Rhinolophus ferrumequinum: one gene and its partners. The protein of the gene in region 1 purifies or fractionates together with the protein of each later gene. This does not show direct contact. Links are inferred from orthologs where the notes say so. Each region holds a gene or a part of one and is shown in the gene's direction. Other genes may lie near its edges.

Region 1 (7,763 bases):
CTTATATTCCACTAGTAGTAATAATCCTACAAGATGAATGAAAATTTAATTTCATCAAATAACATCAATACAGAAAAAATTAAATGATAAATAGTAATCTTTCTATTTTTGAATTATAAATGGCTATTCATATAACTGAATTGTCTACTAGTCTTATTCTTAAGGATTTTCTAGTCTTATTCTTAAGACTTAAAGGATTTTCTTTTTCTTTTTTGTATTAATCAATGAAGCTTAGTTTCTAAGTAATTTTGGAGCATCTGAACCTTTGAGTTCTTTGAATTAATGTATTGTTTAATACAAAGGTTTTTTGTTTGCTTGTTTGTTTTGTCTCAAATAATTGGATGCATTTTAAAGGTAGTATGTAAAAGGCCACATTTCAGCTACGCAGATACTAGCACAGAAGGGAAGCAGACTTACCCCCCAACCAAAAAAAAAAGAAAAGAAAAGAAAAACAATGAACAGCGCCTCTTAGTGGTAAAAGGGAAAAATTATTGGTAAATTACAATAAAAATCTGGCGGAGATACAAACTGGTTAAGTACAAAATAATTTTCAGAAAGAGTTAAGCAGAACACTTTAGAGTAATCATTGCAAAGTGGATTATGGGGATTCACAGGGTGTTTAGAAAGCCAAAAGGGAGCTATTGTATCTGCTGGGAAAAGTGAAAATCAAGGATTAACAGCCTTTAACATATAGGAAATTAAATTATCCCTAATACAAGTAGCAAAATAATCTCAGCAGCCCTTTGTCTTCCAGTGACTCTTCCACTGAGATGGAGCACAACTGAAAGTAAGCAGATTCTTCAGATACATAGGATCATTTTATCCATTTACATGACCCTTTAGAATCACTGACTCGTTAACACAGCCAGCAACATCTGTCAAATTAGCTGTATTTTATAGTGGAAATCACTGAGGCTCAGGAAATTTAAAAAGTAGTAGCAGTCAATATTTGAATGGCATTGTTTCCAGATCCCTAACCCTAAAATAACTGGGTTCATCCATGGTCCATTGAATGGACTGTACCCCCATTCTGTAACCATCTACGAGCTGAAAGGTGCAATAGCTGAGTCATTACTGCCTGGGCTCTGCAGTCAAACCGCCTGCGGTCCAAATCTGGCTTTGCCATACATTCAGTGCGTGGCCTGTGTCTCAATCCTTCTGTACTTGTTTTCTCACCTGTGAAATGTAGTTGGTAACAGTATCACAGTCAAGGCATTGTTTTGAGGATAAGAAAACACAAGAAAAGTGCTTAGGGCAATGACTAGCACCTGTAAATCTTGACAAACATTAGCTGTAATTAGCTGATACTGCATAGATTGACAAGCCCTTTGAAAAGCTGCAAATTTGGGGTTATATTTAATGACATCTAAGATGCATCCAGCTTCAACAATGGTAAATTACTTGGGAGTAGATTTCGGATGCAAGGTGAACTTCAACGTTTTTACTCGGCATACTTCAGTATTGTTGGAATTTGTTGCAACAAGCATGTTGTGCTATTGTAATTTTAAATAGATAAATCAAAAGACAGACTATTTCAAAGCCTACTTCAGTAATCCACTCTAGCCCTTGGAGCTCATCTTCCAGAATTCCTTTTATACATTTAACCTTCTTGTCCTCTTAGCCCTTTGTAAAGATGCCCTACCCTCTCTAGGCTAACCTTTTGATGAGACTATTTGATTGTAATCCAGTGGTTGCTGATGTCTGCATTCACAGAGCACATCTGCAAAAGGCATGCAAATGCTACAGACTCCTGCAATGTAAGCACGCTGGTGCTCAGCCTTAAGAGGACCGCAGTCATGCACCAGGGAAACCGAGCCACCATTGAGATTTCCATCAGCAAGAGAGTGCTGAAAGCTGTCGCAGCATTCTGCTATCTGGGAACCAGGCTGTCCATCTGCACTTGACAAGAAAAGGGAAACATGAAAATTGAAGCAAGCCGCCAAGCATCCTTCCCAGTGTGGCACTGCTGTGGCACCGTAGCACAAACCAAACCAGAGTACCTAAGACCACTGCTGCTCTCCCACTTCCTAAAGGACTGTACAATTTAGAACTGCTGTAGAATCCTTGAGCAGCTTCATTTCTTCAAGACATACAATATCTAGTGAGGGATCTTTTTGAACAAATGAGTAACTCTTCAGCCTTTAATCTCCTTTGTAAAGTGGATGTGTATTAGCTAGGATAATTCTAAGCTGCTATAACAAAAGTTGCTATCTCCCTTACAATAATCCTGTGACGCTCCTGGGTGAGGGAGGCAGGGCTCTGCACAGTTCTTCTGGGACCCATGTTGATGGTGGCGGAAAAGGGTCTGCTGTCTTCAGCACTGGCTTTCAAGATCCCCTGGGCTTTTGGCATCTAGCTGGTGGAGGAAAGAGGTTTTCATGGGTCAGTCCTGGAAATGGTGTCATTACATTCTGTGGCCACTATATGCATGAGAAATGTGGTTCATCTGTGTACCCAGAGAAGAGGACATGGATTTGGTGAACAAAGAGCCAGCCTCTGCCACAAAAACCCACATACTTACCTTGAAGGATTGCAATACGGCTTAAAGATGATAGGGTGATGTATGCTTGGCTTACTGGCTATTGGGGAGGCGGGTGAGGATGTAAAAAGAGGTGAGCAGTACAATGCCCAAGAGACTGGATAGTGGGCTGAGCTGGAGTAATCCCAGACACGAGGGTTAAGGTGATGGCAGAGAAGACTTAAGGGGTGTGAGTTGGAGGCATTCAAGTAGTCACTAATGCTGCCACTCTGCCTTTGAGTGTATGGTCATGTGATTAGTTCCCACCAATAGGTAGAGGTGACATGCATCACTTTATTCCGGTCTGAGCTATTAATTGCTGGGGTAAGGCTGTCTAAAGGGCTTTTTTCCCTCTGCCAAAGAATAGCAAACAGTATTCCAGAGAGGACTGTCTCCATCAGCCTTAGTCCTGGACTACAATACAGAGTGGAGCCTCTAGGCACCCACATATCTTGTTTCAAGTCACTGGGGTTTTTGAAGTAGTATATTACTGCAGCATAACCTAGTTTATTCTGACTGATTTAGAAATCTTTTTTGCAGGCAAGATGCATCAGATGGTCAGTGAACAAACAAACCAACAAAAAGGCATTCTTGTCCATTTTAGACCATCAGTTCCAAGAACTAAGGGATCATGCTTTTAAGAACATAAATTGTACACCATTGTCTCAATGCAAGCAAAAGAAGTGCTTGATGAGCCTTGGATTATTTTAAATACTGATAAAAATCAACTTTCAATACAGCGCCAGACACACTCTCCTCCTTAAAAGATCATTAGTCTGAATCTAGAGAAAGTTTAAAGCTACAAAATGCCAAAGAGAGATGTTAAGGATATAAAATCAGAAGTAAAAGAAAAATGAAAATGGGAGAGCTTTGGAGGGAACTGTGGGCAGCTGTCAGAAGCATTTTTATGTGGGGGACAAATGTGGCTACTTGCCTGTCCTCTGGAATCTCTAGAACTGACTTCCTGAATCAGAAAGGGCCTCCTGCAATGCTGGTTGCTTTATGGGGCCTCCCAGGGCTCTGGTCTGTGAACCAGCACTGTAATGTTTTCCTAACTTGTGCAATTCCATCTCAGATCTCACTCCCATTATCCAACACTGCAGATAACTTGACATAAAAATACAAGTAAGGAACCACGACTCTTTTTAATATGTCCCCCTAGAGTAAAAGTAAGTGATCCGACACAACACCCTAGTTCTGCTCACTTCGGCATAATAGGAAGCTCCCATGTTCCAGCCAGATGGTTGAGCTGCCTGAACTAGAGCTCAACAAGCTGACTATAAACTCCTCAGCTACAAGAGTTATATTTTATTCATCGATGAATAGCACGGTAATTAGTTAAGAGCCTACTTCGGATTCAGCCAGATTCTGGCTTGAATATTGATTTCCCCACTTAATAGTTGGGTAACTTTGGCCACTTAACCTCCCTAATCCTGTTTCATCGCCTGTAAAATGGGGATAATAATGCCCAACTCCACTGACTTGTGGAAATTAAATGTGACACTCGTATATAAAGCTTCTGGTGCGGCTCAAAAGTCTTTGTTGAGAGCTGGGAAGAACACTGGCCTCTTTCCAGCCAAGGGTGTGTGATCTCAGAGGAGACTGTGTGTGAGCCTCCACCAAATTTCAAGGAAAATTCCTTTGCCAAAAGCTGCAGTGTTATGAAGTTAGGGTTAAATAGACAGTGTTTACCTTAAGGGAATGAATTGGTTTTCATTCTCTCTGCATTGTTTGAATTTTTATATGGATTAAAAATACATGAAATTAAAAATAAATACAACTTTCCGAAGAGAAAAAATGTTGGGCTGGAAGGGTTGCGGGCTTATTTGCCCAATCGTTTAGCTCTTTCAGGGACAGTAAGAGCAACGAACAGAGAACACTAATTACCATATTAATATGGCTGCCCATTCCCATATGGACCGGGGGTAGAAACAAAGTATAATAATTCTCTATAGTTGCGCCAAATCTTTCTTCACAAGACTTTAAACTAGCTTCCATATAGTCTCTTATCTCCGATGAAATCTTTTGCCCCTCGCATCCCTACCCCCAGGCAATTGTGGAGAGGGGAGAAACTGAGGCAGGGTGGGGGAAGCCGGCCAGGGCCGGGCAGGACCACCCCTCCCGCGGGCCACCTCCAGCCCTCAACCCCGGGCACTTTCCGGCGGCTGCCGGGAGAGCCGCGAGCCGCGCGAGGACCAGGCCCGCCCGGCCGAGGGGGCGGGCCCGAAGCCGCGGCCTCGCCTCCCTCCCGCGCCGCGCGGCGCTCACTGCTTTCCCGCCGCCGCTCCGGACGGCCTCGCGGGCCCCGGAGCCCTGCCTGGCCGAGCGCCGCCACCATGCTGCAGAAGCGGGAGAAGGTGCTGCTTCTGAAGACCTTCCAGGGCCGGACGCTGCGCATCGTGCGAGAGCATTACCTGCGGCCCAGCGTGCCCTGCAACAGTCCGCTCTGCTCGCAGCCCACCGTCTGCCTCAACGGTCAGGGCCCGGGCGGGAGCGAGGGCGGCCGGGGCGGGAACGAGAGCAGGCCAGGCCGGGCGAGAACAAGGAGACCCGAGGCCGGTCGCGAGGGGAGCCAGGCCGGCAGGAGCGAGGGCGGCGGGCCGGGGGTCGTGTGCCCTTTGAGGCCGCGGAGGCACCGAGTCCGAGGCCCCGGGCCTCTCACCGCCCCCTGGCGTCACCTTCGTTACGCTGCGGGTTGGGAGCGAGAGGCGGCGGCCCCAGAGCCGCAGAGATGGCGGTGGTTGGCTGCTTCTGGAACTCTCCGTGCGGAACTCCCCGCCGGCTGCGCCCCATGAAATGGCAGGGCCCAGAGACAGGCGCCCCCCACAGCCCAGAGGCCGGGTGATTTGGGCTTATGCGAGGGGCCAGGGCGCAGGAAACTGCCCCTTCCTGTCGTGTGTGGTGAAATGGGGAGGACCTGAGCTGTTGGCCCTTCGGTGGGAGGCGGAAGGCAACCCAGTGGCATGAGCGCGGGAGACCTGCTGCTGCTGCTGCTCATTTTACATTTCTTTGCTCCCCACAAATTATCTGAGTTGCCAGCACCGATGCATCTGGCATTTATCCAAAGGATTTGTGAATTATGTGGGTCCTCATTGTACAGGAAGGTCATGGGAAAGCTGGATTGGGGACTGCTGTGCGCTAGACCTTACCCCACTTGGTTTCTAGGCTGCAAGGGTGGTCCATTGAACAAAGATTATTGGTTCTCTTCCCTCTGGGGGGAGATAAGCGTGCTGGGCCTTTTCAGCAAATATGTGGAATCCTCAGCTTGGTTGAGGGTTGATGGTTAAGGTGAACCTTTCAGTTACTGCTTGGCCGACCCACTCCATGACATGACAGGCTGCATGGAAATCTGAACAGTGCCCTTGTTTGCATTGAACAACTTTTCTGGTCAATTCTGGAGACTGCTCAGCATGTTCATAAACTTGAGACAGTACCGACTTGAAATTGCTGGGCAGAAACAAGTGGTTAACATGCATATTTTAAGGGGCCCCATTTGAATGTGCGTGTATGTCAGTAAGTTAACACAGAAATATTCAGGTTGTGCTGAGGATGTGTTGTTTGTTTTTTAAAAAATCAGTCATCCCCTGCTCCACTGGCAGCACCATAAACCACGTTGAGCCTTTATTTATCACAGCTTCAGAAAAATGAAGGTGCTGAATTTACCTGAACTTTGGGCCTCTACCAAGGTAGATTTGTCTTGTCGTTTAAAAACTTCACGGTGCAGTTAAGATTGTAAGTTATTTTGCACAGGGGGGCACCATGACATTGAAATAATAAACCAGGTTTGCAAATGTATCTAATCTTTTGCATTTCGATTTATGCTTCAGATGGGAAACTCTTGTCTAGTGATGTGACTCATTACATGATCCCAGATTGGAAAGTTGTTCAAGATTACTTTGAGATCCTTGAGTTTCCTGAATTGAAGGGAATTATATTCATGCAAACGGCTTGTCAAGCTGTGCAGCATCAAAGAGGCCGGAGGTATCCGTTTTGTATTATTTATTAATGTAGATATCCCCCGCCCTTTAGAAACGCTCCTTTGTAGGGGGAGGGGAGGAATTTATTCTTTAATCATAAAGTATTTTTTAAACTAACTTAGTATTCTCTTTGCTAGTAGGAATGCAGTAACATTATTTTATATTTCTGCTGCAACATCTGGCCAAAAGATCTGACTGCAGATCAATAAACTGCAGTGTCCCCAGTATGTGGGTATTGAAGATTCTTGGCTTTCGGTTTGCATTTTACAGCAGAGTTATTGCTTATTTCTTGTTGATATTGCATATTATTTAATCTTCTTATTTATAGATATATTGTTTCAGAAGCTTACTTTTTTTTCCCCTTGGGAAAAAGAGAGTACTTTATTTTTAAATTTTACACTCCTTTATTGTGGATACAAATTGTATTTGTAGTGATTTATTCAATGAAACCAGATATCACTTGTTTTATTTTTAGGTTACAAGTATTACTACCAACCATAGTAATTGTATTTGCTAAACAAAGGATTGTTTTGATTGAAATCAGTATAAAATGCTTACCTTGTACCTTTTAAACAAGTACTCTAAAAATTGGTTTTGTTTCATTTAACATTGGGAAAGATTTATGGTTTGAACTTGAAGACTCATGCCGTATGGAAACAACATACCGTATTAGAATTATGTATCCAAACTCTTACCACCCCAAGTTATTTAAAAAGCAGCAACTATGAGTTTATTTTTTTTTAAATCTTGTAGTTTCTTTAGACCTTGGTAGTAAAAGATGAAGTGTGTTTATTTGTATATGAAAATGATAAGTTGTCCTTATTATATGCCCAGTTCAAAAAAATGTGCATTAACTAGATTGTGCAGGTTTTTCAGATGGAATATTTTTAAATGAGCTTGAAGTTGATTTTGTTCAGACACAAAGATATAGATGTTTATACACATCCAGGTTTAAATGCTGTTCCAGGTGTCGTATTTCATTTCTGCTACTAAAATCAATTTGTTGTTATCATTCAGATCGCTAACATACTGCAGAGCCTTTTCAACTTCTGTTTTCTAAAATATTTTTAATATTAAGGATTGTTTTAAAAACCAATTCCTGGGACATTCAAAAGCAAAGAATTGAAATTTAAATGTCTTTTCTCCTGAACATTTCAAAGTAGTTAACTTGATGAAAAACTATTGGTTTTCCATTGCTTTACCATGTCTCCGAATACACTAAATGTGAAAACAAAAGATGAGGAATTATAAAATAGGCCCATATGATA
Region 2 (7,764 bases), on another chromosome or scaffold:
CAGCTCAGTGATTATCTTCAGGAAGCTTTCTTGATCCTCCCAGACTAGAGATGCCCTTTCTCTGGGTTCCCATTTTGCCCTGAGTTTTTCTCTACTGTACTCCTTACGGCATTATGTAGCATCCTTCTTTTTACTTCCCTTCCTCCTCTTTTGGACTATGAACTCTTTCAAGGGCATGAACTCTGCCTAACCCACTGCTATAGGACTAGCACACTGTCCCGCATGTGGCAGGGATCCCTTGCATGTTTGTTTCACAAGGACATCCCAGGTTTGTTGGAGCAGACAGAGACAGGCAAGGGAAGACCACTTCCACTGACTGAGTGACTTTCTAAGCACCCTGTCTCAGATGGGAGCCTAGCCTGAGGGGACAGCTCTGCAAGTGAGGACGGCAGAGATTGTGGGGACCTCATTCTCTCCGGAAAAGTGATGAGTCCACTCCGAGAGGCCCTCCTTTGATTGAGCAATAGGGAAAACAAACGAATCAGTTCTGCCTCTGCCCTGAGAACAAACAAATCAGTTCTACATCCCATGATGTAATGGGATTTGGAGTCAGATACTAGGCTAGTTAACTTAGCCTCACTAAGCCTCAGTTTCCTCACCTGTCCAATGGGGATGATGATTGCCTACCTGGCAGATTCCATGCCTGGCATATATTTAGTGCTCAGGACACATCAGTCCTCTCTCTTAGTTAGGGTACAAATCTGAGTGGCGCTGGTTTCTCCACTAACAAATCTGTCCTGCTTTTTCATTCACTTTCAAATTTTTGCACCCTTTCTTCCTCAGCACTCATTTTTCCCTAACCCTCTGTTCTCCCTGTGCCATGGACACTTCCAGTCATTAATTCCATGGCCTTCTCCCTAGTCCCAGACTCCTTGATAACGCTGCAGATTTGACATCGCCAATCAATATTTTCCTCCTTCTGTTCTGAGACTGGCTCCTGCTTCTAATCTGGTCCTACCTGTAACTTTTCTGTCCACCAGCTACACCTTTCCTCCCAAGAGCCTTCCTTCATCATACTTTTCTTCTCAGGAGTTGCTGGTGATGGGTGATTCCCCATGATTTCAAAGATCTCCTCTCTATGACTCTCAGATCTGTAGCTCTGAACCCCTCTAATCTCCTTCATTTCAAATGGCCTCTACAGACCTTTAGATGATTGTAGTAATTTGCTAGGGCTTCTGTATTCCCAGTATTCCCAACTGAAATTTATTGCCTCACAGTTCTGGAGAATAGAAGCCAGAGATCAAGGCGTGGGCAGGGTTGATTCCTTTGGAGGCGTGGGAGGGAGAATCTGTTCCAGGCTCTGTCTTAGCCTCTATAGTTTGCTGGCCATCTTTGGCTTTCCTTGGGGTGCAGAAGTGTCACCTGATTCTCTGCCTTCCTCTTCACATGGAGTTTTCGCTCTGGGTCCAAATTCCCCTTTTTTATAAGGACACCAATCATACTGAATTACAACCTACCCTAATGACCTCATGTTAGCTTGATTACCTCTTAAAGACCCTCTCTCCAAATAAGGTTACATTCTTGGGTATATCCTGAGGTGAGGAGGCCAGCATATCTTATTAGAAGGACACAGTAAGATCCATAATGGTGATGTTGCAGTCACTATTGCTGTGTAACAAACTACCCCAAAACGGAGTGGCTTGAAACAACTGTTTTATTATGCTCATAGATTTGGTGGATCAGGAATTCACACAAGGCACAGTGAGGATGCTTGTCCCTGCTTCATGCTGTCGTGGGCTTGGACACCTGGGCGTGACTGACAGCAGGGGCTGGAATCATCTGGTGGTCTTTTCCACTCACGTGTCTGGTTGTTGATGCTGGGACTTCAGTTAGGACTGTTGACAGGGGTAACTACATGGGTCTCTCCCTGTGGTCTGGGCTTCCTCACAGAATGGCAGAATCAGGCTATTTAGATTTACTATATGGCAGCTCTTGCTTCAGAAGAGCAAACGAGGAAGCTCTATCACTTTTATGATCTAGCATTGAAAGTCACCTCGTTTACTGCCACCGCGTTCTATCGGTTATAAGGGCCAGAGGGGAGGGCAAGTAGACTCTACCTCTAGACAGGGTAATGCCAAGGTTCTAGAGGAGTATGTTGGATGGAAGATATTGTTGCTGCCATCTTTAGAAAAATACCACCTCTCATGGTTGATCACCTGTGTTTATTACAAATTAAACTCATTTCAGGTTAAACTCCTTGCTCCCCTCTCTCCCTGATAATGTCTCATTTTCAACATCTGTGTTTCTATCAATGACACTGAGCTGAAACTTTATTATCATCTCTGACTAGGGCAGGCATCAAGCTACTGTTATAATTTTAAAAACCACTGTTTAATGAAACATTAGAGAGACAGCGAATTAAAAGGAAAGAGGAAAACACCCTTCCTGAGGAGTAGATGATCAAGGATTTATTTGATTCTATCGGTATTTATTGAATGTGTACTTTGTGCCAAGACAATGCCAGCTGCTGAGGATGCAAAGTCAAATAATGCAGCATGTGTAATGGTTCAAAGCATGGGATGTTATCACCTTTAATCACCATCACCATCACCATCACCATCATCACCATCATCCCTTAGATTCAGTTCTTCTCTCTGGGAGCTTATAGTTTAGGGCTAAAAATATGGCTGAAGCACTCTGAAAAATAGTTTGGCAGTTTCTGATAAACTTAAACAAGCACCACATAAACAGCAATCCCATTCCTAGGTATTTACCGGAGTGAAATAAAAACCAATCTTCACACAAATACCTGCATGTGAATATTTTTAGCAGCTTTATTAATAATCTTCCTAAACTGGAAACAACCCAAATGTTCCTCAACTGGGGAATGGATAAACAAATATAGTGCATACATCCCAGGAAATACTACTTAGCAATAAATATGCAAGAGTATGACTGACTCTCAAATGCATTGCTAAGTGAAATAAGCCAGTCTCAAAACCATACTCTATGGTTTTGTTTATATGACATCAGAAGGTAAAACTAAAGGACAGAAAACAGAACAGTGGTTTCAGAGGCTGGGAGTGGGGGTTATTGCTGACTACAAAGGATCATTGGGGGAACTTTTGTGGGTAATGGGACTATTCTGTACCTTGTTTTTATTGGTTGTTACACACACCTGTATATGTTTGTCAAAAGTTGCAGAACTCATGTGGATGGTGGCTCAGTTGGTTAGGGCGCGAGCTCTGGGCAACGGGCCTGCCTGTTCGATTCCCACATGGGCCAGCGAGCTGTGCCCTCCGCAACTAGAATGAAGTCAATGAGCTGCCACTTAGCTCCCGGGTGGCCAGATGGCTCAGTTGGTTGGAGCGCGGGCTCTCAACCACAAGGCTGCCGGTTCGACTCCGGCAAGGGATAGTGGGGTCTGCCCCCCACAACTAAGATTAAACATGGCACTTTGAGCTGAGCTGCAGCTGAGCTCCCGGATGACCCAGCTGGTTGGAGCCCGGGCTGTCAACCACAAGGTTGCCGGTTGGACTCCCCCAAGGGATGGTGGGCTGCGCCCCCTGCAACTAAGACTGAAAGGACAACAACTTGACTTGGAAAAAAAAAGTCCTGGAAGTACACACTGTTCCCCAATAAAGTCCTGTTCCCCTTCCCCAATAAAAAAAATCTTTAAAAAAACAACAAAAAACCAAAAACAACAACAAAAAAAGACAGATAAAGCACTAAGTCGGGATGAGGACTGGAAAACTCATTATCAACCTGTAGGTGGAGTTGTCCTTAGACAAAGCGGTAGGTGGATGGGTCAGGATACCGACCACAATGGAATGGTTGATGATTGCTTGCCGGGTGTGGAAATTGGAAAAGTGCTTACAAACAACTTTTTTTTTTTTTTTGTGCAGTTTGGCTTTGAAAGGGAACAGAGAGGTAGGGAAGTGTTTAGAGGAGGAATTGGAGTTTTTAACATTAACTTTTAAAACAGAAGAACCTTTTTAGTATTTGTAAAAGCTGATGGGAAGGATCCTGTAAAAAGGGAAGAGGCTGTAGGCACAAGAATTGGATGACCTGAGAAGGGCAGAGTTGCCAGATGTGACAAAAATACAGGACGCCAAATTAAATATGAATTTCAGAAAAACAATAAATACTTCTTTAGTGTAAATTTGTTTCCAATATCGCTGGGCATTCTGTATTTTAGCTGGCAACCGCCAAATGGGAGATTTTAAAGCAAAAGGGTCCTAACCCTGGATGCAGTAAGAGGGGGTCAGAGCTCCAAAGTCCTTTCCAGCTGTCACATTCCAAGACTCTAGAATGAATTCCCAGTTTTACCAGAACCGTTAATATGTAGAGAAACTGCTTTGAATTTTGGCGCTTCTCGCTTCCCCATTTTCTCTATGATGGCAAGCGGGCAGGAAAATGATGGATGAAAATCTGTGGAAAAGTTCTAGTTTGGAATATCGACTCTTAAGTGATGCAGAACTTTTTGAACTGCAAACAGGTTCTGGATTGGGCGCACAGGCCGGTGAGTCACAGGGTGCCAGGCACGGGTCCAAACCTGGACACCAACTCTACTCAACCCAAGGGCAGGTAGGAAGCCCCGGCCCAGCAACCCGCAGGCGACTGCGTCCAGGCGCTGCCCCGCCTCCTCCAGTTCGACATCCGGGGCTCCGGCAGGGGAGTGTCGGGGAAGAAGGGCGGGAGGCAGCGGAAAGGAAGGATGTCGTGGGAGGTTGGATGAGCCGGGAGGGAGGCGAGGCGAGGCGAGGCGAGGGCGGAGCAGGGGGCGTGGCGGAGCGAGCGCGCTGTCACGTGACGTGCGTGGCGACGTGTCGGCCATCTTGTGTTGTTGAGGCTGAGGACTGACTTGGGTTCTGAGAGACTCCCTGTCCCGGACCGCAGGTAACCAGCGACTCCGTCTCGCTCCCCTGCCGGGCTCTGCTCCGCGCCCTGGCTCCGCCGCCCCACGCCTCGGGCCGCCGGGGCCTGCCGCCCGCGCTCGCGTCCCCGCCGCTCCGGCGGACCTTGCCCAGGCGCATGGACACCCACAGGCCGCCCCGGCAGCGGCCGCGGCCGGCTCGGGCGTCAGGCGAGGGGACAGGTCAGGTGCGGGGCCGGAGAGAGCCTCCTCCCCGGCGGGGGGCACGCCGGGCCCGGGCGCATCCCGTCCTCGGAGCCGAGGTGCCCCCTCCGCCGGGGCCCGTTGGCATCGCGGTGGGGAGCCGAGAAAGGGAAGATGTTGGTGAGGGGGGCAGTGTCAGGCCGGCTCGCTGAGGGCCAGAGGGCTCGCCTTCCGCTACCTGCCCCTCGGGGCCAGCCACCCTCCTAGCCGCGGGCTGCCCGGGGTAACAGCTGCTGCGGCCGGACAGCTGCGCTGGCCGGCCCGCCTCCCCACACCTGGCCTCTGGGAGGTGCACCCTTCTCTTCCTCACCGAGCGTTGGCGCTGGGAAGACTCCTTCCGTGGCGAGAGGACGGGGTCTGGACCAGGCCTGAGGCAAGGTGGAGCCATGCTCGGAACCTGGGACAGAGGTTGGGAAAGTAGAGCCTGTGGCATCTTTGGTACCCGAATGTTCACCTCGGGTTAAAATGGGCATTAGCCTTAATTGTCAGCATTCTGAATACTTCAGTTTTGTGGCTGAAGCATAAATCAGGCGACCAGAGAAGGGCATAAGAGTGGAGCAGATTGTGTGACCGTGATTGGGAAGCAATAATATTGTGTTGCATTTATCTAGCACCGTGTTTTGTGTGTTTTTTTTTAATGCTTCCTTTCCCTGAAAGTCAAAGCACTTAAGCACACCTCTTGTCTCTGTGAGAAAGGTAAGTATTCCAATTTAAGTTGCAAGAAATTGAGGAAGGGGCCAGAACTTGTGAACAACTTCTTACCCATGTTGTATACCTTGGGTTATAAGCAGTTTTGGTGCCCAGTGTTGGTGCAGGGAAGAGAATCTTGACTCATGTAGTGTTTCTTTTTCAGACTCCTAGATTAAAAACATTTTTTTCTTGTCATCCTATCTGTACGTTAACTCTCATCATTCTAATAATTGACAGCTCTGACCTTACAGAGTTTGTCCATTTTGGTTAGAACATAAATGCATTCTGTCATTCATTGATGTTTTTATGTGTTTTACTCATTAGTGTAGCAGCTTTCAGAGTGCTCAAACTGGAATGTGTACTTTTCTGTTACATCAGATGTTGACATCAGTTGAGGACACTAGAAAAAAAATTTTAAGTGGCACGTATCTGGAAAAATGTCACACAATGCTTCCTTTGATATTTAACACTGAGGAATACACTGGTGATGGTAGTGATTCACTAGAAAAGAAAGGGCTTCACACCTTTTCTATACTTGACGAAACATTTTAGAATTTTTGAGACTGAAGAGGGAGAAGGGACCATGTGCCATCATTCATTTATTTGACAAACATTGAGACCCGGCTGCACTGTTGGTTGCTGGGAGCAAAACAGACCAAAAATTCCTGTCTCCATGGAGCTCATTTCTAGACAAATAAATACTTAGGTAAAAATATATAGTTAGTGGTAAGTGATGTGAAAAAACATGAGACAGGGAGATGGGATACTAGGGAGTTGGGGGAGGGGTTAATTTTAAGGAGAGTGTCCTGGGAAGGTCTCATGGAAAAGCTAATATTTGAGAAAAGCCCTGATACAGGTAAAGGAACTATTCCGGTAGTTCTGTGGAGGAGGAATGCTCTAAGCTACAGAAGTGAGGGCAAAAACCCTGAGGCAGGAACTGAAGTGGGAGCAGATCTGGTGTGGCTCTAGCCAGAGAGGCACAAGTGACAGGTAGGGTGGTCGGAAATGTGTACCCAGTTCATTGGTACTAAGATGAGAGGGGTTTATTCAGTGTCCTGGAATCTTTTCCCACATCTCTGTGACTCTTAGGGGAATCAGACATCAGATTCTGGAAATTTGGGCCAGTGTGCCCCACCCCCTCCCTCCACATGACCCCCCCTGTCCCCCCAATTTGGAAAAATTCAAGATGCTCATAGAACATATATCAGGAAGTTGTCGTGAAATAGTTTTCACATGAGATTGATGATCAACTGCCTAAAGGGATCTTAAAAAAAGAATTGCTGTCTAAGAAGGGGATCTTTGAGATACCACAGAATATTTGAAAATGCAGGCAAATGATTTTCCTTTGAAGTTTAGACTCAGGTCATTAAGGGATATAACCTGGAAGAAAAATGAAATCAATGTGTTAACTCGTGTTGTCCTTAATGTGGTTAGTAAAGAATTCCTTTAAATTATTTCTGTGCTGTCCAGCCTCGTTTTAAATTCTTCAGGGACTTTTCCACTACTATGTATATGTTTTATAGCATTTTACCGTTTCCCCGAAAGTAAGACTTAGTTGGACATTCAGCTCTAATGTGTCTTTTGGAGCAAAAATTCATATAAGATCCTGTCTTATTTTACTGTAATATAAGACTGGGTATAATATAATATGATACTGGGTCTTATATGAATTTTTGCTCCAAAAGACACAGCTGACTGTCCGGCTTGGTCTAATTTTGGGGGAAACGGTACATGCGTAGAACTTTTTGTGCTGAGTTTTTCATTCCTCCACTTTTACCTTTCAGACTAGTTCTCCAATTAATTTGATACTCAGTAGACTTTCTCATTGAAAGAACATTTTTTTCTGATTTCCTTCCAGCTTATCTCCATATTCTTATTATTGAGCTTTCATAAATGTCCTCTTTCATGTTAATTTACCGTAGGAATTTAATATTTTGCTTTTGAAATGCTTTTACTTGTGAGTTGCATATATGAAAAATAATTTGTCATATGGTTGCCTGCAAAGCATGAGAACT
Region 3 (7,751 bases), on another chromosome or scaffold:
GATGATCACATGTGTGGATCTGTTTTTGAACTCTCCATAGTATTTCAATGTTATATTTCTCTATCCTTTGTATCAGGATCAGATTGTTTAACTTACTATTGCATCAAAATAAATCTTAATGATAACGTAAGTTCTCCAACTTGATTCTGTTTTGATATTATCTTAGCTATTCTAGGATCTTTGCTGCTCTGTTTAAATTACATAACCTGTCAATTTCCACCAAAAAACTGCTAGGATTTGATTAGGATAACATTGGATACAGATTAAATTGGGAGGAATAGACGTCTCTCTCATTTAATGTAATAATAGTGACTCTTCCAATCCATAAACATGGCATATGTCTCTATTTAATGTGAATTTTTTTATTTTGCTCAGCAATGTTTTCTAATTTCAGTTTAGGCCTAACATATCTTTTATGATATTTATCCTAGATATTTGGTAACATTTTATATGCTAACATAGGTACCTTATTTTTAATTTTTATTTTCCAACTGTTTGCTCCTGTTATATACAAGTACAGTTTTCTGTGTATTTATGGCACTAATTAACTTATTAATTTTAATAGTTTAATTGTATATTTTATCTTAAAATTAAAAAATATTATTTACAATAGAATAAAAAAATATGAGATAATTAGAATTAAATCATCAGTGCAAAACCAGTCACTGAAAACTAGAAAACATTATTGATAGGAATTAAAGAAAATATATAAATGGAGAGACATATAATGTGCATGTGCTGAAACATTGCATGTTTGTAGCAATGTTAAAATGTTAATTTCCCCCCAAATGATCTACAGATTCAATAAAATAACAAACTTCCAGCAGGAATAATTGTAGTAATTAATAACTTCATTTTAATATTTACATGGAAATTATAAGGACCTAAAATAGCTAAAAGAATTTGAAAAAGAACAAAATTGGAGGATTGGCACTACCTCATTTCACGATTTATGAAGCTACAATAATGACAGCATGGTACTGGTGTCAAGCTAGTTCAGTAAATCAGTAGATCAGTGAAACAGAATGGAGAGTCCAGAAACAGACCATATAAATACGGACAACTAATTTTTGATAAAGATAAAGATGCAATTCAGTGGAGAAAGGACTTTTTTTCAACAACGGTGCCGGAACACTTGAATATACATATGTAAAAATAAACTTTGACTTAAACCTTGCACCATATACAAAAATCAACTGAAAAGGGATAATAAAACTCTAAATTTAGAGCTCAACACTGTAAAACTTATTTTAAAAAAATAGAAGAAAATTTTTGTGACCTTGGGTTAGGCAAAGATTTCTTAGATACAAAATCAATGGCACAATCCATTACAAGAAATTGATAAATTGGACTTCATCAAAACTGAAAACTTGAAGGACACTATTAAAAAATGAAAAGACCTGTTATAAACTGGGAAAAATATTTCCAAATTATATTTCTGATGAAGCAATTGTGTCTAGGATATAAAAATGTCAAAAATAAGGAAACAAATACCTCATTAAAAAGTGACAAACAGATTCAGAGACTTCACCAAAGGGGATATAGAAATGTCAAATAAACACAATATCTTTAGACCATACCATGGGATGGTGAGTATGTGGAGAAAATGTAACTACACTGATGGTGGGAACACCAAATGTTCCTACCACTTGGGAAAACTGTTTGACAGTTTCTTAAAAAGCTGAACATAACCTATCATTTCATTCAGCCATTCTGCTCCTAGGTATTTACCTATGAGAAATCAAAGCTTATTTCCATACAAAAAGTTGTACATGAATAATTATAGCAGCCTTATTTGGTCTAGCCAACATCTATCCATAGGTGAATGGAAGACCAAATTGTGGTGTATCTATACAATAGAATTCCCCTCTGCAATAAAAAGGACTGAACTATTGATTCAAGCACCTACATGAATAAATATCAAAAATATTAGCTGAGTGAATGAAGCCAGTTAAAAAGATACATATTATATTATTTCCTCTATATAAAATTTTAGAAAATACAAACTAATCTATAGTGACAGAAAGGAGATCAGTTGTTGGCAGGGGCCAGGATGACGAGACAGTGAGAGGCAGAAGGAGAGATTATAAAGGTACTTGAGGAATCTTGGGAGTCTGGATATGTTCATTATCATGATTGGGTTGATGGTTTCACTAGTGAATGCACATGTCAAAACATTTCAAATTGTATGATTTAAGTATGTGCAGTTTATTGTTTGTCAATGATTCCTCAATAAATGTGTTAAAATTTTTTTAGTAATGTAGTTATGCTACTTTCATTTATAATTTTTACAAAAATAGACATAATTATTTGTATAGTCACTTATGGCATTTGTTAAATAGCTCATATCTAAAGACAGTATTTTTTAATTCAGTAATTCATCCAGCAAACATTCAAAGTTCCAGACATTAGGGTTCTGGAGAAACACAGGTAAAGCTTTCTAATAAATGTGGTAGAGAACTAGCATTTATTGAGCACTGAAAGATTTCAGAGCATGTCACCCCAAGATAACATATTGATTATTTTGAGCCAAAGGAACCTGAGTTACAGCAGATATGAGAAGGGCTATCTTACCTACCCTTTTCTATCTAAAGCAGATCACAAATTTCCCATGAGAAAGGTGCCCTCCCTCTACTAGAAGGAAAGAACATCCTTCTCATCAGAGACTGGAACTTGATGTTGAAATGGATCTGTACAAACTTACTGAAATAACAATTATCTTCCACTAGTTTCGCACACCACCCCCCCCACACACCATATATCTCCTAGTTACTTCCTTACAATACTTCCCATTGTTTTGTCAATTCTTCACATTTATTTCTTTGTCTAAAAGGTACAAGAGCATTCTGCTCTGGTCATTTCTTCAGGTCTTCATTCTCTTGTGAAAGTTCTCATATATCAGTAAATATTTAAACTTGTATGTTTTTTGTCCTGTTAACCTGCCTTATGTCAATTTAATTCTTAGACCCAGTCAGAGACCTAAAGTAGGTAGACAATTTTTCCTCCCTTACAGTACCTATTTTGTAACAGTTACTGTATTTACAACCATCACTTCATTTACTTTTCACAAAAGAGAAGACATAACTTCTTGTATCCATTTTACAGATGAAGAAATTGAGTCCAAAGAAGTTAACATACAGGAAGTGGCAGAACTGGTACTGAAATCCAGGTTTGTGTAATTCTAAGTCATGGTACTTTTCATCCAACCACAACACAAAACTTATAATCCCATCTAAAGAGCTCTGGGAGAATAAAATCCTTAAAACTTTCTATGGAAATCAGTGAATGCTTTGCCACTGAGGCCTTATTGTTTGAGTCATAATCAAGACTCTCAAGTATTTAGAATTTTAAGGGAGTGCATTATTGATGACTCAGAAGCAAATTACATATTAGCTCTCAGGCAGAAGTAATGTTTTCTTCTTCATTGCTCCTGTAGTTCTGTTTATGTGGTCAGTTTGTAACTCATCTATTTTATACCTCAGTGAGTTATACTGAAGCTTGTAACTGACAATTACAGTGAGCTGGAAGTTGCCATTGGTGTTTTAACAATATCTAAAATTTTAAAGCACCTACTAATATTTGTGTGAAATCCTCTTACATAGATAATTATTCACAGCTTTACGAATTAGATACTATTACTAAATTACTGACAAACAGATTGCAGCATAAAAATTGTCGTGAAGTGTAAAAGGAAACATTTAAGCCATATAAAATTAGCAACTATCTATTTTTGTGTGTAAGTTTGTCTTGGAGCTACATTAAGCAGCAATGATAGTTAAGAACAAACATTTGTTAGATGCATTCAGGTGCACGTATAAACTATATTTCAAGTCACTTACAAATATGAATTGAATTTGTATTATTATTTCTATTGTGGATAATAAAAAGCTGAGTAAGCTTTTCATTCATTTCTAGAATTTGATATTTACTCTTAAGTAAAGTATCACCATTTCAAATACACAAGCTAAAACTGAAGTGTAGTTTGTTCAGTATGAGGTTGTTTTTTTACATAGTTTGTTACATAGGTTGTTTTCACTTTGTTTTCTAAGAAATAAGGACATGTAACAGTAGCTTATAGATTTATTCATCAACAACAATTATCATTAGCACATAAGTGGCATGATGTGCTATGACTAAAAAGCTTTAATACTCAGCATGTTACACACCATTATGTATTAAACGAATGCTCAATGAATCCTTTTTTATGATGTTAATAATAATTTATATCGCCAAGGGCAGATAGTTGTTTACTAGAGGTATCTATGCAGGACCCATATACATGAAACCATGAATTACACGAAAGCATGGTGACCTATTGTAGTAGATGCTCAGTTTAACCATATGGTTAAAACTATATATTTAAAAAGAATAGTTTTTCCTCTCCAAAGCTTGGACTAATTCTTAAAGCAAATGTACACAAGTTTGTTAATGCTTACTACGGACCTAAGTAGGCCGCAAAGATGAAAGTTGGATAAGACAAGGCCTTGGCTCTTATTCAGCACACAATTAGCTTTTTCACTAGATTATCAGACACCAAATTTGGAAAATATTTTGGAACGCAGGCGTAGGTCAAGGATACCAGCTCCTAACATTTGGTCCAAATCAACAAATTGGAAGCAGTGGAGTTCCGCCTCTTTGGAACTCCCGTCAGTCAACCTGCCAGCAGGTGAGGGCACGCTAAAACGCAATCCCCGGCCCATAGGTACGAGTGCGCATGCGTTCCTAGGGATTCGATTGACCCTGAGAGGTTGCCGTAGCTCAGTGCACAGACAAGGCGTTGCGTGTGCGCAGGCGCTCAGCGCGGAGTACTGCCGGAAACCAAGATGGCGTATAGGTGTTGTCCAGGCCGCAGTTGGCGCCTTATCAGTATCTGAGCGGGTGTTTTGTAAGGGACTGTGGCGAATGCCTTCTTCGCCGCCATGGCCCGGCATCGGAATGTTCGAGGCTATAACTATGATGAAGGTAAGTGACATGCGTATGCCGGACTGTCATTTTTCTCTGTTCCAGCCGGGATCCCAGCTTATTGGCATCCACTTCGATTTGTGAGTTCCTCGACAGTGGTGCCAGGCTGGAATTCCGAGGAGACTTAGTTGGAAAAACTAATAGGACATTTGAGTGCCAGAGAATTGTGCTGTTTTTATGTCATGACCTCTGGGATTGTTACATAGGGCGGGGTTGGTGCTTTACGGTGTCATATGGGAAGGACATTTGGCGAGGCTGTGATCCGCTGGTATTTATACACGTAATCATTGTCTCCTCTCCTTCTTCATTATTTCCTCCGTGGAGAAATACACACTTGCCTACTTTTACCTCTGTTTCCCGCCACCTCCCATTCAAAGTGCCCATGAAACGCCGCTTATTTGTAAAATACGGATTTATTTAATGGTTACAATCAACTGTTTTGCTGTAGCTGTGTGAAATTTACATGGTAAATATTTTGTTTGTTCATACATATTTAGTGCAGAATGTGGCTTGAGCTAACTTTAATTTATTTTCTATGAGTTTCAAGTTAAATTGGAAATTTAGAAGGGGGAAGAAAAGATACATATTAAAAAGGCCCAAAGAGTCCATTAGATAATCTTATGTGTCTATTCAATTCTTGGTTGATAATCTCAATGTAAATGTATTTTGGAATGGAAAAAAAAAGCAGTATTAGAAGAAAGAGGGCTTCGAAAATGACTGAACTGATTTTAAAAAATGTAATAAAAGAAAGAAATTGTATATGAATGTTCTCCAGGAGTTTAAAAGAAGTTAGAGTTAGTCTCTGTGTAGGGGATAATTATAGGCATCGCCAAGCATCATACAAACTAAAATTATAAACAAATACGATCCAGTGCAGAAGAGGAATGAAGACCTATTGCTCTGTAAAATGCAGAGCATGTAGGGTGTTTAATACGTTGGTGGTTATTATTGGCACTCCCAGCAGATTATTGGAGAACATGCGGATGCTCTAACCATAGTTGAGGGTAGCTAACACCTTTGGAGACTGGAATCCAGTCAGCCTGGCATATGTTAGGTTCCTGGTGTTCACTTTAGAATGGAGTCTGTTTTAAAGTATTGCAGTGGACGTAAGGATTGCATTTGGACCATGGTGACCTAAGAAGGGATGTTAGCTTGGGAGATAGTTTTGCAGATATGATAAAAAAGACATGACTAGGTCTAATTACTGCTTATTCATTTCTTTAATAAATATAATTTCCTCAAGCAACATTAATTGAGTGCTTATTCTTCATGAATTGAATGCTTAGAATACTGTTCTAAGTTTTGGGGATGGGTAGTAAGATGTTTGAGGGAGTCTGCAAGGGGAAGGTACACAAGCAGCCCATTTACCGTATGAGATGCTACATAAAGTACAGTGGCCTATAAGCTCTGTGAGAACACCTTATTCAGAATGGGTTGGAGGAGTTTGAGTAGGATTTCTAAGTGAAGGAAAGCTTCCTAGAGAAGTTCTTGGCCTGAGGAAGTGAGTGAGGGCTAAATATCTTCTCACCTTGGCAACCCCCGGTTAGGTTATTATGTTTCTTTGGAACAATTGATGATGTCATAACTAAGCTATTCCTATAGCATTGGAGACTCATCCCTTTTCCTGCTTACAAAAGTTCCACTCACTTTCAGGGTCCAGTTTATTTTTCTTCCCAGTGAAGCTTTTCCTTGTACTCTTAGAATAATAAATTAAAAATTCTCAAAACTAATAGAACTTCATTAGAGAGAGTTTGTGCTGCAAAACCTATTGGTACTTTTAACTCTCACTTCGTTCTTCTTTGTGATTTGAATAGCACTTTACATGACTGCCTTAGCTACTAATTTAAAAGTACCAGGAAGGCAAAGTCCATACTTTATATTTATTCTAGTAGCCAGCACGATGCTTACATGCAGGGAATTCTCCCAAAATTTTGTTGAGGTAAAGAACCACTTTACAAAAATCCCAGAAAAGAATTCTCTTTATCTTTTTATATTGTGGTACTTTTAGGGTCAATTTCAGTATTGAAAAACTGACCTAGTAAAGATTCTTCGTGTCTTTTATATCTAAAAATACATTTTTGTGAATGGCTCCTCATTTATTTGCTAATAAGTTATGAACTTGGGAGTGTTATCTAACTTATTGAATGTTACACATTTTAATCCAATAGTAGCATTTATTTAATTTTTCTTTGCCATAAACATTTGGTCTCAGCCTTTGAACATGTTGTTCCTGCTGTATGAATACCCTCAGAAAGTAGCTAACTTTCCTTTGGAATTGGTTAAATATTGTATTTCTGGGATCTTTCCCTAGCAACCCGAATACCACTTCTATTTTTGTTGTACATGTATGTTCCCAAATAGCCCTGTATTTCTCATGTGAAACACTTGTCATATGGTTTTGTAAGTGTTCGTTTCTTGTCTGTGTTCCCTGTTAGATTTTAAGTTGTAGAGATACGGCAATGTGCCTGTCACTCACTGTTGTACTCCAAACGTTTCTAATAGTCCCTGGCCTAGTGTTGGTGTTTGTCAAATGAATAAATGATATATGGAGATATATTTATGTTCTTTGTGGGTTTTTCGTTTTAAATTGATTGACTCATTAACTTATAATAAAACAAGAATTAGTTTAGTGCCAAACATGCACCAGGTAGTTGGCTAGATAGATAGTCTTGCTCTGAAAGAGCTTGTAGTCTCAGGGAATGAAACACATATAGTGCTTCGAAGACATTCGGTGGGAGGAGTGTGCTAGAGAGTAAAAATGGCAGTGGGGCTTGCTGTTTTTTACCCAG
Region 4 (7,566 bases), on another chromosome or scaffold:
CAGAGTGGAAAAAGCACTATCAAAATGCATCACATGTTACCAAGTGGTGAAAGAGAGAAGCCTTTTAAAAGCCAAAGTTAAACATGACCATTTTTCAATGTTTAAATATTTGCATATCCAGGATCTATTCTGACTTTTACAACCTGGTAAGATATGCATTTGAGGATAAAATGAGGCGTAGAGAGGTTAACTGACTTGCTCAAAGTCACAAAGCCAGTGTGTGGCGAAGTCCAGATCACTGGAATAAATGTCCAGTAGTCTTTCCACCATAGATCCTTATCTTCCCAACCAACCTGCCTTTCTAGATTCCCTGCTACTATTTCTTGGCTTAGAAATGCTCACTTTGTACATAACCAAGTTGAAACTTACTGCAACGGGACTGTACTTATCCCATTAGGCTCATTTTCCTAAGATGAAAAATCGATCCCACCCAAAGGCATTCCATTCCCACTGATCCTAACTCATTTCTCGGTAGCCCAGAAAATCCAGAGTTCAATCGCCAAGCCTCTACATACCAGGAAGGTTACAGTTTGTAGGAGATTGAAAAGATGGTGTTTTCCTGGCATTTCCTGGATGAGTGACTGAATTAGGTGGGACATGCAACTGTAGTCTTCTCACCTTCACGGTTCACAGCACCTTCAGAGCCAGGAATGACCCAGCCATTTGTCTCTGGAAATCTGCTTCCAAAGAGGAAGGCAAATAAAAAAATGCAAAAACAGGAAGAAAGTAGAGTCCACATGGGATTAACCATTTTTTCCCCCCAACAGATCAATATTCATACATCACTCCTCTATTTCTACTTCGGATTCTGTTGCTTTCTATGGCTGTGCTCTCAGGGTGTGTATGTGTCTTTAAATATTTCCAGATTTGCTCATTTGGAAACATGAGCCCCTTTTCTCACACATGCCCTAACGAAAGACATGGGAAGCACCCAGCCACTCACTCAAAATGAAACACACGTGAAGACCCTTCCTCTAAATGAGAATAAACTTTACCCATGTATTCATATCAATTTTTCTATCACTGTAATCACAAGTTATAATGTGTAGAGCAGCAAGACAGATACAGCCCTGCTGGCCAGACTGTGACAGGTTATAATGAAAATTCTTTAAGACAAGAAACAGGCAGGACAAATGCAAAGTGTTTAAAGGAAACAGATCTGTAGGGAAAACAGCAGCTCACTTTTGCTTTTCTGAGGTGCGAGGCTAATTGTGAAAATGCAAAGGAAAAGGCCTAAAACTTGGCTCCCTCTGTTTAAAGATTGGGAATAAAATGTTCGTTCCTCGGGCTTTTAGGAGCTCTCTGCAACTTCAGCACCACGGACGCAGCACGGCATCGAAGCTCTTCTGTCACCGGCTTTTACTGCTTTAATGAAGCAAGGCTGGGTGGGACAGATGGACTCCATCTCTGTAAGGTTCTCGTTGCCCGCTAGTGGCTCGCAGCAGCTCTTCACCTCTTGCCCTTGGTGCCTGGCATGCACAATTAGCACCTTATTATTGGCTGGCCTCTTGTCTAATTATCATGTGTCTCAATCGAGCAATATTTTATTGTCTTGTTCATGCACTAGCTCAAAGTGCCTGGGCTCCCCGGCTATAATAAATCCTAAACCCCTTTTAGGCAGGTGTGTGTTTTCAGTTTCTTATTACTTCAGGCCCTCGAGAACACAAGCGACTCTCGGGCACACAAACAAGTACTTCCTGATTGTTTGAAGAGCTCCTAGGTGTCTGTTGTGGGTGTAAGGCACGTGGTTGGAATCTGGGTCTCCATGCCATCTCCGTACCAGATCCATCGGCCTTCTCTGCCGTTGAGGGCTGTCCTCAGCTCCTCTAAGCTCCATCAGCCTGTATTTAACTGTTTCCCTTATCCAAAGGGGTTAGACATAGGAATTTCCCATTAGCACCACGTTCTATATTAGCTGTGCAGGGATTGGAGCTAGATTACCTGGTCTCAAATCCTGGCTCTGCCAGTTACGTGACCTGTGGCCTTGGTCAAGACAAGTAACTTCTCTGCACCTCAGTTTCCCAATCTGTAAAATAGGGATAATAGTATCTGTCTCGTAGAACTATTGTGAGGACTGAATCAGTCAATCTTTGTCAAGTGCTTGGTACATAATAAGCACTATGTAAGTTAGAGTTAAATAAAATTAATAGGGTGCAGAGGTTTAGAATAGACAGACCTACAAAACAGTATGCGCCCTAGAGAATCTGACAGTGATGGAAAAACAAGCTGGTTTAACAGAATAACGTGCCATCCTTGGCTTTTGGATTTTCTGGCTAACATACATTCTTTGAATGGCTTCAATAAACCAAAAAGGAACTCTGAATTTATGGGTTTTAAAAATGTCTAATGTATTATCACAACAAATGGGATAAAAATGTTCTGGCCGCACTGAAGTAGAACGATCAGTGAAGGTATCGTTGTTTTAGTAGAGAATGTAAAATGAATATTCTACTATTTATACCTCTCACACCTACTTAGCCTGTTAAGTCAGACATCATTCATAATATTACTTAGCAAATACTGCCAACCCTTCTCCAGCAAGGAACCTTTAGTCAGTTGTCGGGGGAACAGTTCAGATAGAGCTTTTATATTTTTTAAGACATACTGATTTTATATTGAGATGATTCCATGGTATCCAAACTCAGACTTTCCTTTCTGTGTCTTTTCTGATCTGTCCATTTGCTGCCACTTTTTAAATCCTTAATCCTCTTAGATATTCCAGCTACTAAAATTCCATGTCCAGGGTCTCTCTTTTCTGAGCAATCTCTACCACAAAATCCTGTTTTAACATCAGCATCCTCTGTTACCACAGAGTTCCTCACATGGGATCCAGGTGTCAAACCACACAGAAAAACGTCTATTGCCACAACAGATGGGGCACCTGTGTTTTCATTAGGGAGGAAATCCTTCCGGCTTCACCCTTCCGTTTCCCTGGAGGGCAAAGTCCAACCCTGCAATATGTCTTCCCTGTAGGTGCACCTGTAAAGAACTACGTAGAGACATAAGAAATAACTAATGTCTAGTCTACTAAGAAGTGATCATCTATTTTAGGAGCTTAGCAGTTTAGTGCTTAAGAAGGTGGACAGGTATTTCCTTTCTGCACCTTCCTCTGGCCCACCTCCCTGTCCCACTGTGCTCACTGGTGCCACCGTCATAGCTCTTAACCACCATGTTCTGTGATTATGGTGGCCCTGGAGCCTTCCCTTCTGCCTGGGGAGCTTCTCCGGGCAGACGTCGTGTTTCACTGGCCTTAGTGTTCCAAGCTAGCCCAAAGCCCACCCACAGCAAGATCCCAATAGTCATTTGGGAAACTATATTGAAGACAGTATCTGGGAAACACCGGTCGTTCTTTGGATGACCAAGCCATCAAGGGTTACTTTCACTTTTGAGAACAGGGAGGTTCCCCAAATACGGGACGTTTAGAAAAGTCATCAGATCCCCTCTTTGCTTCCATCACTTTCGGTTAACTTTCCTCCGTTTATCCACATGGCTCTGTTAAAATCTGTGCCATACCCTGTCTGCCCCGCCTTGCTGGGGCTCCTTCAGTGACCCCATGTCCACCTTGCAGGTATCCTTTCTGGACATTGGAGGCCGAGACTCCTACTCGGCCAGCACCTGGGCTTCCGCCCCGCCTCCCCGTCCCCTCCCGCCCCCAGCAGCTGTCCACAGCTCCCAGAAATCACCCCATCGAGTCAAGGCTTCCAGCCACCACTGAGAAGCGCTGGGGACGCCTGGGCACTGCGCCCCTCGCCAGCGCCGGTTACCAGGACTCTCCCTCCTACTCTCTTTGGGATCATACTCCGGCGACCACCCGGGGCAAGGGGATCCTGAAAGGTCCTGGGTCAGCGTTCGGTGAGAGAGAGAGAAAGAGAGAAATGGGGGGAGGGGGAATCCGTGGGGTGGACTGAGGACGCCTCGGGACTAGTGGGCATTCATTCCTGGCCCGGAACCTTTCCACCGAGAAGCTAAAAAGGGCTTCATCGCCTCTTCTTTTCAACCATCCTAGGGACCAGGAAAATGCAGGACCGGGCGGTGGGGGTAGGGAGACCGAGACAGCCCCCGGTCTGTAGGGGAGACAATCACCAAGTCCGCTTCCCCTCACTCCGGTGTCTCTCTCTCACACACACGCACACGACCTGCTACTTCCACTCCAGCTCTGAGCAATCTGCGTCGCGCGCCTCTCCCACTACGAGTCCTCCGGCTTCGGCCCCGGCCCCGCGCCTCTCACCTCACCCCAGCTTTTCCAACCAACTCCAGTTCCGCCTCCCAACTGACCGTGAAGTCGGAGGCAGTTCCCCAGTCCCAGGCCCCTAACGTGGCTCCCGCCGCGGCCTCCCCCTGCAGTCCTCGACCCGGGCCCCGGCTTCGGGCTGCAGCGATGGCTCCCCGGCACGAGGCCCCGCGGCTCCCTGGACTCTGCCAGACACGCGGCAGCGCGCAGGAGAAGCCCATGGAGCTCCCGGCAGTGGCAGCAGCGGCGGCTGCAGGAGCGGCCGCCGCGCAGGCTGATGACGCACAGGAGCGGGAGGCGCGGCCCGCGCGGGGGCGACGCGGGCTGATGACGTCAGGGCCGGCTCGGCAGCATGGCGTCCGTGACGCTGAGCGAGGCGGAGAAGGTGTACATCGTGCACGGCATCCAGGTAGCTCCAGCACGGCGCCGGCGTGGGCCGCCGGGTGTTCCTGGCCCCGCGGGTCGCGGGCGGCCCTCGTTCACCCGGGAGGAGCGGCCGCGCCGCGGCGGGTCTGCGTTTACCTTGGGATTAAACCGCTCTGCGGCCGGCAGCGTGGGCGATTTAGGAGCGGGCGGCGAGCGTCCGTGCAGGGCTGGGTGCGTGCTCGCAGCCTCCCGGGTCTCCGGTTCCGAACCCGGGTAGGAAGCGGTGCGCCCGGTCCCGGAGGCCTTTTCGTAGCGAAGGAGCGCGGCCCCAGGGCCCTCCCTTCAGCCTTCGCGAGCCGCTTCACTGTCGCGGTGGCTTCTGGCCGCCTTTCCTCGCCTCGTGGTTGGGAGTCACAGCGAGAGAGAAGGCACCCGAGGTGGAAGCGCTTTGGGAATATAAATCGCCTTACAAATAAAGGAAGGGTGTTTAAAAAGTGGCTCCACAGGCAGCAGCATAATTTTTGCTGTTGGCCATTTTGTCTCTGGAGAACTAAGGTCCCTAGAGGCAGCTGTAACTACACTGAGCTCTTCTGTGCTCAGCCTTCAATCCCTGGTTTGGACCACCACGGAACCCGAGCCTGGTAATTAGCTACCGAGGAAAGCCAAGGGCGTCCTTCTTGTCTGTAACCTGCCCAGGTTAGAAACGTCTCCCAAAAGTCTCCCCAGAGCCTAGGCAGAATCCTGTTCTTGCCTGGATTGACCTGAGCATTTTGTGTTTTACTTTTCACTTTTGGTTTATTATGGTTACTTTCATCTCGTCTGGCGTTCCTTTTACATCAGTCTTCGATTCCTTTATTACTCCTAAGATGAGGAAAAGCAGTGGCATATAAGGTGTGTGTATCAACGGGGTGCTGTAGTCCGTGGACGCCAAACGCGCTCAAGCACAGTGGAGACTACTGCGCTGGAGCCTTCCCCACGGAGGTGGGATTACTCTCCTAAATCCACGTCAAGTGCTTCCTCTGTGTATCCTCAGGACTCAGTATTTAACTCATTCAACGGAGCTAGACTCGAGGGGTAGGAAGTAGCCTGCCCTTCTATAGCTCTCATGCTAGAATGAACAGACAGAAATGACTTCTGTTTATTTGTGTGTTTATATATAAAATTATACTGAGGGCTGTGAAGGGAAAAAACGAAAAACAAGAAACCTGCCTCGTCTGGCAGGTCAGGGGAGGCTAAGGAAATTGCTTGATCAAGAGTTAAGTAGGCTTGAGCCTTCCAGAAGGAAAGGATGGTGACTCCACTCGTGCTGAGGGTAATGGTGGAAGATCAGGTTACAGAGGTAACCAGAAGCCTGATCCTAGGGATCTTAGAGGCTCAGCCACTCCCTCATCATGGATCTTGGAAGGTCATTATTGACCTGTCTGTATGATACCCTTAAGGCCTAGCCGGTGTCCAGCACTTAGTAGGTACTCAGTAACATTAAACAGTAACGTAGGCCTTAAAGGGGCGATGAGTTGGACAGGGTTTTCATTTTTTAAATCAAACCTCTCTCTCACCAGTCACCAGGACCATGGACACATTAGGGCCACAACTATTAGTAAATGTTCAGTTCTGTGTATCACAGAACCATGTAGACTAACTGACGAAATAAAACTCTTCGTAAGGATTGTTAATATTGGCCACAAATTTGCCGTGTTTGTGGAGGAGCAAAACAGAATTTACACCATTTGAATCAAGGTCAGAATGCAGGTGAGTGAGCCTGCCATGGGATCTCCACTGACTCAGTTCTAAAATCACCTACACTGTGGTTAAGTTGGTCACCGAGTGCCAGCAGAGTGCCGTAAGTCTAGCTGGAATCCTGTTCCTGCCCCTGTAGACCTAATCATTTTGTGTTTTACTTTTCACCTTTGGTCCTGTTTGGTTTTAGCTTCTGGCTCCCTTTCCCTCAGCCTTTGATTCCATTACTATTTCAGGGATATTTTATCTTATTTTGGTGGTGGTTAGAAGCAGTTGAAATTAACCTCACCATGTGTGTTGAGGATTCAGTTGCTAGTTATGTTAACCAACAAACTGGCTCAAGCCAAAAAAAAGTACGTATGAGAAGGCTATAAGTGTTTCTCCAGGAATTCATGGGCAGTTGGATCTTCAGGCTTTCGCTTGCCCATCTCTGCTGCTTTTTATGCCTTTGTTTTATTCTCCTCACTCTTCAGTTGGCTTTCTGTTTCTTGGGCCATGTGGTAGAGAGACTGTGGTTATCTCTCAGCTCTTGGGGTTACAGTTTCCTTGTATAAGAAAGCAGCCCTTCTAGTTCAGTTCCAGACTCGTCTATGGACAGAATGGTTAGGCCCAAACATGGCCACTGAGGGATGAGGCCACTTGAGAGAGAGAGAGAGAGAGCGCAATTAGTGGACAGGAGGATGAATCATTTTATGTTCTGGCAGAAGATGGAACCCAATTCAGATAACTCAGGGGACTTTCATAACCACATGGGTGCATTTCAGGGAACCAAGAAGAAATGTGGAAGAGCCCAACGTCTAGTGACCACAGGGAGTAGCTACGACTTCTAGGCCAAAGGGGCCAAAAAGAAGCAAAGAGTAAAAGAATATCTGTAGTAGGCTGCCCTTTATGTAAGAAGGGGATATAAAAAATATTCGTGTATCTGCTCATTTGTGCAAAGGAAAAAGAGGAACCAGGTTACCTACCTGGTGTGGGTGGGAAAGGGGGAGGAAGAAGAGGGGACATGAAAATAGGGATAAGGGGGAGAGTGACATTCCTCTGAGCACACCTTTTCTGAAAGTTTTGACTCTTAGAGCCGTGGTGAAAGTCCACACATCCAAAAAGTAAATAAGTAATTAAAAGTAACGAGGTAATTAAAAGTAACCGGACAAGTGAGTAACAGAGCCACCCTGAGGATGGGGACAGACAACTGGAAAACAGTGTTTTGTGTGGATCACTTGGATAACATGGCT

The links.
Region 2: the proteins of DIS3L (region 1) and GIGYF2 purify together in Homo sapiens (affinity purification with mass spectrometry; 3 studies listed by BioGRID and IntAct, with this or other methods). This does not show direct contact. The link is inferred for Rhinolophus ferrumequinum from reciprocal best matches to the Homo sapiens genes DIS3L and GIGYF2.
Region 3: the proteins of DIS3L (region 1) and HBS1L purify together in Homo sapiens (affinity purification with mass spectrometry; 5 studies listed by BioGRID and IntAct, with this or other methods). This does not show direct contact. The link is inferred for Rhinolophus ferrumequinum from reciprocal best matches to the Homo sapiens genes DIS3L and HBS1L.
Region 4: the proteins of DIS3L (region 1) and EXOSC7 purify together in Homo sapiens (affinity purification with mass spectrometry; 3 studies listed by BioGRID and IntAct, counting the BioPlex papers as one, with this or other methods). This does not show direct contact. The link is inferred for Rhinolophus ferrumequinum from reciprocal best matches to the Homo sapiens genes DIS3L and EXOSC7.

The regions. Positions count from the first base shown.
Region 1 is NC_046289.1:44,648,085-44,655,847, reverse strand, and holds the start of DIS3L (DIS3-like exonuclease 1), read left to right. Parts: upstream 1-4,752; 5' UTR 4,753-4,854; coding exon 4,855-4,993; exon of another isoform or gene 4,994-6,319; intron 6,320-6,345; coding exon 6,346-6,499; intron 6,500-7,763. UniProt on the Homo sapiens protein: Catalytic component of the RNA exosome complex which has 3'->5' exoribonuclease activity and participates in a multitude of cellular RNA processing and degradation events.
Region 2 is NC_046291.1:6,113,523-6,121,286, reverse strand, and holds the start of GIGYF2 (GRB10-interacting GYF protein 2), read left to right. Parts: upstream 1-4,748; 5' UTR 4,749-4,839; intron 4,840-7,764. UniProt on the Homo sapiens protein: Key component of the 4EHP-GYF2 complex, a multiprotein complex that acts as a repressor of translation initiation. In the 4EHP-GYF2 complex, acts as a factor that bridges EIF4E2 to ZFP36/TTP, linking translation repression with mRNA decay.
Region 3 is NC_046286.1:81,623,749-81,631,499, reverse strand, and holds the start of HBS1L (HBS1-like protein), read left to right. Parts: upstream 1-4,735; 5' UTR 4,736-4,919; coding exon 4,920-4,962; intron 4,963-7,751. UniProt on the Homo sapiens protein: GTPase component of the Pelota-HBS1L complex, a complex that recognizes stalled ribosomes and triggers the No-Go Decay (NGD) pathway.
Region 4 is NC_046300.1:9,960,859-9,968,424, reverse strand, and holds the start of EXOSC7 (exosome complex component RRP42), read left to right. Parts: upstream 1-4,555; 5' UTR 4,556-4,583; coding exon 4,584-4,640; intron 4,641-7,566. UniProt on the Homo sapiens protein: Non-catalytic component of the RNA exosome complex which has 3'->5' exoribonuclease activity and participates in a multitude of cellular RNA processing and degradation events.